Xenopus tropicalis: one gene and its partner. The protein of the gene in region 2 interacts with the protein of the main gene of each other region in a biochemical or structural test. Links are inferred from orthologs where the notes say so. Each region holds a gene or a part of one and is shown on either strand. Other genes may lie near its edges.

The links.
Region 1: the proteins of mapk10 (region 2) and mapk8ip3 form a complex in vitro, tested with the Homo sapiens proteins (3 studies listed by BioGRID, with this or other methods). The link is inferred for Xenopus tropicalis from reciprocal best matches to the Homo sapiens genes MAPK10 and MAPK8IP3.

Annotation. Positions count from the first base shown.
Region 1 is NC_030685.2:22,605,668-22,609,493, reverse strand, and holds part of mapk8ip3 (C-Jun-amino-terminal kinase-interacting protein 3), read right to left. Parts: intron 2,475-3,826; coding exon 2,418-2,474; intron 2,070-2,417; coding exon 1,899-2,069; intron 1,229-1,898; coding exon 1,069-1,228; intron 416-1,068; coding exon 320-415; intron 1-319.
Region 2 is NC_030677.2:87,177,628-87,181,949, reverse strand, and holds the start of mapk10 (mitogen-activated protein kinase 10), read left to right. Parts: upstream 1-1,239; 5' UTR 1,240-1,576; coding exon of another isoform or gene 1,577-1,579; intron 1,580-4,322. UniProt on the Homo sapiens protein: Serine/threonine-protein kinase involved in various processes such as neuronal proliferation, differentiation, migration and programmed cell death.

The DNA of each region.
Region 1 (3,826 bases), on a different chromosome or scaffold from region 2:
CCGTTCCCTAACGAGTAGTCAGAATGGCAGTGGCCTTGCATTTCAAGGGGCTGTGGTTGGGTGAAAAGGGCCCTAATGGAACTCTTTAATGCAAACATTTTTTAGAAATACCAAATAAACACGCAATGGACACGGATACAGAATTCAAGGACAACAGTGTGAGAGCCAACAGCACTCAATTATTTTGTTTTTGTTATTGATATGTTATTGCTTTTTGCAGTGTAAAGCAAGATAACTAAAAATGCTGTGTAATTATATACGTGTTGTCTCTTTGCCTTTACAGGAAATAAGTACTCCCGGGGGACTGGCAGATTCTTACCTTCATGGTGGGATCTTTCTCTACCAGTGGCCTGCAGTAAACTGGGACTGGCACATTCTTCATGCGGTTATCCTCCTGTCCTCCATTTGGACTAAGCTGTCAGAGTTAACACATTTATTTGAATAAAATCAATATGTAAAACTGTTAGTTGCAGTTGGTCTTTTTTTGAGTGTGTTTTTTTTACTTATTTAGGTTCTCCTAAGCAAAATATTTAATATTTATATAATTCTGTTACTGAACTCTTTCTTGGGAGATACAATGCAATACGATGCAGATACGATGCAATTAATCTCCATGTTTGACACAACCATAATAAATTGATGTAAAAAACACAACTAGTTATGTACATACACAGACATAATGTATAGGTATGGGATCGGTTATCTGGAAACCCGAATTAGGGGAAGGCCATCCCCCATATTTGATTTGGTTATGTTAATCAAATAATTCAAAATAATTTCCTTTTTCTCTATAATAATAAAACAGTATCTTGTACCTGATCTCAACCAAGATTCATTCATACTTATTGGAGGCAAAACAATCCTATTGGGGTTCATTCACGGTATGGTGATCCAAATTACAGACCCCTTATCCAGGAAACCCCAGGTCCCAAGCATTTCGGATAACAGGTCCCATACCTGTACTTACAAGGCCCAACTATAGATCAACTATAGTTTTAATATATATAAAATAGATCAGGGAAATCACTAATCTAGTTCACAGATTCTATGATCCCTTGAGCTACCAACCTGCTTATATTTGGCAGGTAGGCTCCACCCACAGGCTTGGAGGCGCCCATCGTCATTGCGCACATGCTCCCGCACTTGGCGGTACTGCTCGCGCTTCTGCTCCCGGCGAGCCGTAGATGTGCAGTCGCTGAGGAGAGAAGCTACAGTGTTACTCCTCAATCTAAGGGAAAAGAAAAAGATGCGGCAGAGCGTCAGGGGAGAGAGCAGAAAGCAAAGCAGCAAGGGTTAAAGGCATCTAGTGAGCAAGAAGGCAAGCATGGGGAGGGCAAATGCAAGGTAGCATAGGAGGGGGCTGTATGTACCATAATCAGGGGTACATTTAATTCTATCCAAGGAAGTGGTGAATCTCATTCAATTTGTCGAACTGGATGTGATACAATGTGCAATGTGTCCCAGAACCTGGGAGTTTTTTTGTAACCCTGTGGCTAAAAATTCTAGTCAGTGGGACACGTAGTTATTAGTGTGTTAGACAGGCACCTCTACCCAGGCCTGGACTGGGAATCTGTGTGTTATGGCAAATGCCAAAGGGGCTGCTGTAAGTAGCCATAGACAGTCACTATTTATTGGGCTGGTAACACATGAAGGCCCAAACAGTGCTTGGAATGCCAGGGCCTATTTTGAATCCCAGTCTGCACCTGCCTCTACCAATAGATGGAAACATCAAGACATTGGAAAAACATTAATATGCATTCACCTATCATCATTGACTAGTCGTGAACAACCAAAGCCATGGATTTTCTACACAACTAAAAAATACTTAATAATCAGAATTTATTTATAGTTTTATGTTGTGTCTTTGTACACTCTTTCAAGCACAATGCTTGACTTACTCATCTGGGAAGAACTCAATGGTGCGCCCCCCAGAGGAGATCTGGCACATGGTGTGGCTGCGGCGCTGGCTGAATCCCGCAGGCGTGGGAGACTTGTAGTGGATATTGACAGATGGGTAAGTCCTCTTGGGAGGTGGTGGGCTGGATGAAGAGCTGAAAAGCCTGCTGAAGCTGAAAGAAAATAGGCAACATTACACAGCTATGAGGAGCCACTGTGCATTCTATATTAGTGGTTCATTTGTGGTCATAGACAGTTAAGATCTTCCTGGGCAACTGATGTGATGATATAACAGAAACCTCTTATTGCCAATATCTCAATTCATAGAAAATGACTGAGAGTTAATCTGTGCACTCAACATGCCAAGCTTGACTTAATATACAGTGAATTTGTTGGGTCAAATACATTGTGATAAAGACAATATCAGGGATAGTAAGGAACTTATAAATGGCACCCAGTCAAAGGCTGCCTGATCTATCTGTCAAAGTGTATGATGGAAATACAAGTACAGGCAAACCTACAATTGCCAAATGGTTGACTTCTTCTTCTCCTGGACTGAAGGGTGCTCCCTGGAGGCTCTGCAAAAGGAAAAAAGATGGATTTTTGTGTTAGTAAAGCTCTAATCATGCTAAACAATGGAACGTTAGTGAAGGCTTTGGATCATAGAAGAGGATTTTCCTGGGGATCTTACACTCTGCCAAAGTGCAATTTCGAGCTCAATCTTCAAGTTTTTTCTGCAGAAATAGGGGTTTTGCCCAGAATTCCAGTGTAATTTCAGTCACAAGGGGGCAAAGTGCCTGATGCAATTGCATCTTATTCAGCAAAATGAAAGCAACAATGCATGTTTTTCAACACAAATCAGACTCTTTCACATGGAAGTCCATCTCCCATCATTTCCAAAAATAAAACCGAACCAGTGATTGTCCACTTTTAGTGGGAGTCCACCTCTGAGTTAAGGCTTGTACCCTCAAGCGTCCCTTTCTGCTTTTCCCTGGAGTGCATTCCTCTGCATTCTACCACAGGGGAGCGCAGGAAGGAACGCACCCTATTCTTCTCAATATGCCCGTACTCACACTGGTCCATGAAAGTGCCAAACGCAGGTGGGACTCTTGGATGTTGCTCTCAGTTCCTCCAAACCAGGTAGTTGTTTTTGAATTCCTGGCTTAATGGCAAGTTTTGGTTGAATAAAAACAAGATTTACTACCAAATAAAGCCCCCTGTAAGCTGTTAGTGTGCATAGAGGCTGCCTAATAGCCAATCTTAGCCCGTATTTGGCACCTCCATGAACTTTTATGATGCTTGTGTTGCTCTCCAAATTTTTTTACATTTTGACTGTGTGTCTATGAAGATTCTTATTCATCCAGGTGCATTTAAACCCTTGAGGGTAGTAAAGTCACAGGCATCCAATCTTAATGGTTCCATTAAACTTATTCAGTTAGCTGTTGGCTGAAACTGACAGGTGTAAGAAGGTATGATCCAGTCACAATGGTACCATGATTCTCAATGATTGATTGATTGATTCTCATAATTTTACTGCGGTTCACCGGTAAAAAAGGTTGGGGAACCCTGATTTAGAGAGTAATATTATGAAACACTTTGCAATTGGTCCTCATTTTTCATTATATGTAGTTGTGTAATTATTTTGTTTTTTGTTCAATAACTTTCCAGTCTGGAATTTCAGCGTGGTTTGATTGAGAGACTAGAAATAGAAAAACAAGTAATAAAAAGTAGCAATAACAAATAAGTTGCAGACTCACAGAGCAATAGTTTTTTAGCTGCTGAGTCATTCCAACATTGGAAAAAGTGAAAAGAAGAAGGCAAATAATTCAAAAACTCTAAAAAATAAATAATGAGGACCAACTGAAAAGTTGCTTAGAATTGGCCATTCTATAAAATATGAAAAGTAAACTTAAAGATGACCCCTCCCTTT
Region 2 (4,322 bases):
ACAGCTATTAATCTTACTATCTATATACTCCACATATGTAAGTACCAAAAGCTTTAGGCAAATTTGGAGTAATTGTAAAAGGTAGAAGATGCTCAAGTGCACAGTGAATAAGCTGGTGTAGGGACCCATAGGGTTAATCTGGCTTTAGAGCTTACCACTTCCTTATTTCTGCTGTTACTGGGCCATTTACTGTATTTAGTTTACCATTTACATATTGTGCCTATTGGTTTATTTGGTTGATCACACCCCTTGCACTCCAATATAGTGTTTAGCAAGGCAGTGTCTATAGTTCAACCTGACCTGTCTATAGTTCAACTGCAAGAACCTTCTGGCGTCCATCTTTGCTAGACTGCACTGCACACAGCTACAGTGAGTTGTAGTCCACTACACCCTTGCTCCGCATGGTCTCTTTTATATAGCGAAGGCCCATCCCGTGTGAGAGTTTCATGGTCCCCGTGCTCTAAAACCATACTAGCCTGGGTTTTGCCTATTTTATAGCCAAATAATGGTTACACTGGCTTAAATGTGCATTTTATTTATCTAGCAACTTTTATTAATATGGATGATATTAATCATCCTTAATTTCTGTCAGTGTAAATGCACAAAAAAAACAACATAAAAATTTTTTGATCATGGTCCTTTCAGAAGAAACCTGCTCCATAGAACTAAATTGGTGAGGATACCACGTCCATCCCAGCACAGTGAGTCTTTTGTAAGCATCACCAGAACCAGCTATGACCTTGCCTGTCTGAGAGGGCCCCGGATGCTGCTGTAATAATGCACAGTTGGTCATTTAAACAACCCCACCCCCCTCATTAAATACCTTATACATATCATAGTGTGTAATCTTTAGCTACATATATCTGTAACACACATTTTGTCTGTGACAAAATATTTAATATTTCGCTGCAAAGAGGAGCGTCACGTTTCTTTCAGGTGGTAGAGTCCAGTTCTCTACAAAGGGTAGTCTCTGTGATGTTTGAAGAGACTGCTTTCCGTGGTTCTTCCTTGTTTGCCTGTCATTTCCTCCCAGCAGCCTCTGATTCACAGAAAAGATAGCCGTGACTGCAGATTAAATCCGTTCTTCCCTCCTCCTATGTGTTTTTTTTCTTCTCCCCCACCCATCTCACCCCCTGAGACCTCTCTGTACTTTGACGTCATGCATGCTCCTTTTAGTTGCCATAGCGACTCCATTCCCTAAACCCCTCTTGCCTATCTCCTGTCGTAGCTTTCACAATGGTACAGGCAGCATCACTGTGCACAATGCTTTCCAGGCAGTGAAAGAAGGTGATTCAGCAAGCCCGTCTGTTCTTTTCCATCACTCCCTTTTTCACTTTCTATTTCTTTTTTTGTTTATTTTTATTATTAAAACATTATACAAAGAATTAAGTTAATTTCCTCCTATATTTATAAGAAATTTGTTTTTTATTCTTATTTCCTATACTACCCCATTCATGGGCATCGTTTAATCTAACCAATACACATGTATTTTGGAACGGGGTCAAAAAAAGCCACATAGAATTGCTATCTTTGGAGGAGCCACTGTGGATGTGAATTGTTGCAGTGCAGGCACGGAATGGTGAGTAGCCCTAGTCTCGGTATGCTGCTGTTATTAATGCAGGTTTATTCCTTTCTAAAAATACAATTACCATTGTTTTCTGTTTAAATTCTGGGAAGAATATTGTGTGTAAATTCTGAATATATTGGGTGCGGTGCTTGTATGGACTACTGCCAAATATATAAATGGTGGGAGGTTATTGCAAAAACCATATTCATGTCATAGGGCAGTGGGATTGACACAATGCCTAACTGGTTATGTTAATTCTCCTCTCAGTTCATGTAGCAGGATGAAGGGCCAGTGTAGAAGCAGTGAGTGCTAAAACAGTAGGTGCCAGGGTGCACTAATGCAGCCCTGTTCTGCTCCTCATATACAGGCTAAGGGGACTATATTTTGATTGCTGTGTCTATATGCCATCCACAACACACATACCTTTGTCTATGCATTGACAACAGGGAATGGAAAAAATGGCCTTACTGGAACATATAATCGAAACCTATTCTTACCATTTATATTTTAATAGATTATGCACAAAAAAGGTGTGATTAGGCTTTAATCATTTTTTTTAGCACTGTGATTCCAACAGAACCAGCTTTCCCTAAGCAGTTTTTAAAAAAAATAAATTAAGCAAGGTTTGTGTTCAAATACACATTTGTGGATACAGGTTTTGTTTAGAGCAAGCTCTAGCTGCTTTACAATTACAATTCCCATTATTCTCAGGTACCCTGTTTATGGAAGTTGCATTTCTAAAGACCATACATTAGAAGCCTAATTAATGACTAAAGTCCTAAAGATCCTAAATATTACCAATTATACTTTCCTATGTGTTTTATTAATGGTTTCGATCATTTGCTAGAAACTATGTATGTAAAAGGTACATTTTTCAGCAGGATAATTATTTATAGCTTAGTCAGCGTTTTGAAATATTTGGGCTTTGGAAAACTCTAAATAAGTTACTAAAATAATTTCTTTTGTAGTTTATAGTATAGCATGTAGACAAAAGATTGCTTGCGCAGAGTTTGCTTTTATATATTCCAGATTTTCTGGAATTGTGTAAGCATGGCTGCTCTGCAGTATCAGTTCTCTGTGGTTTTTCTTTGGTAAACAAGGTTAGAGGCTTAAAACCATTGCTGTATGGGATCTCTATTAAAATGCAAGTAAAAACAGTATTTGATGTTTTATATAGACTTGTGAACTTAGTATGAGTAGGAAAATGTTAATGAATTACATGAGTAAGCTTTACATTTTGCAGGTTTGCACTGGTAATTATTAGACAAAATGCATTGTTGTGCAGGCCTTTCCTGTAGCTGGTTTTGGTACAGAAGACCGTTAGCTGCAGTGATTTGACAGTTCAGCTTTATGTGAAGAGTGCAGCATTAACTATCCACATACTTCATTACTATGGCTTTGTATTCTCTGCAGCACACAGTGAAATGCCAAAAAAGTGCTGACCTCAATAAACCTCTAAGCTGTTCTCATTTATTTTCCCTCAAGTAAACATGCTGCAGCTGCCTATTGCTGCTATTTACAGATTTTTTTCCCTCAAAGACACCAGTAAATCTATGTATTGTGTGTTAATTTCTCTCAAGATAGAACACAGTCTTGTTTTATTTCATGTAGTTCAGGTTTTAGAATAAAATGAAGATAGGAACCTTTTTTTACCCACATGAATATATCCTGGTGTATGCTTGGTGCAGATCTGCACTGTACTGTTGTAGCTGAAACAGCAGCCATTCATTATGATAGTGCTTTCATTTTTTCTAGGCAGCCTAATTTTTCGATAGCCCTTCCTCTGTCTTTTCCTTTCCTCTTATTAAAATGTTAATCTGCAGAGCTCCCAGTGAAAATGACAGCTGCCAAAATGTAATGGCAATGCCATTGTTGTTCCCATTGCTTGCATGAGGATTCTGCTGCAACCTCAGCAGCGTGACAAATGTGTCTGGACTTGGCACTTTCATGGAACGAATCTGCACAGCCATGTACAGTATGGTTATTCATTCCTTAGAAGATTATCCCCCCCCCATTGTTTTGTTTTGACAGCAAAAATGCATCCAGATACAAGTGAAATATTAGTCCATTTAAAATTCAGTGCATTAAAATGTCAGTCTGACTCACATTTTTCCCAGTGGAAATAAGTACTTGAATATAAAAGAACAGAAATGGATTTGATGGGGCCTAAGTGAACTTTGACACCTGAGCCTTATGCAGAAAGCTTACATATTCCATAGACTCAAAAGCTCAGTGTACGACCAATATATACTGAAATCTATTGACAATTTCTTGCTTACAGGATGACTCTGGGTGTGGGCAGTGTCTTTTGTAATGTATTCGTATTGTTGCCAAACTGGCTGGTATGTCATCAAAGGGTTTCCAAAGCACTGAACCAAAGAAATGCTTTTCTTGCTGGCTATGGGCTTCAAAAGGGAAAAACAACACAAAATCTTTATATATATATATATAATATTTGTCCATAAAGATGCCGGCACTCACGTCTACTAGGAAGGTACAGCATCCTGGGTACAGGTCCAAGTAGATTAGAAGATGCAGCAAGAAGAGGATCCGCACTGAGAGGACTTATGAAGAAAAAATGGTATTTATTCAAGCAGACTGACGTTTCGTCTAACATACTAGCCGCTAGTGTGTTAGCCAAAATGTCAGTCTGCTTGAATAAACAACATTTTTTCTTCATAAGTCCTCTGAGTGTGGATCCTCTTCTTGCTGTATAAATATATACATACAAATATATATCAATGTATATTCCTTA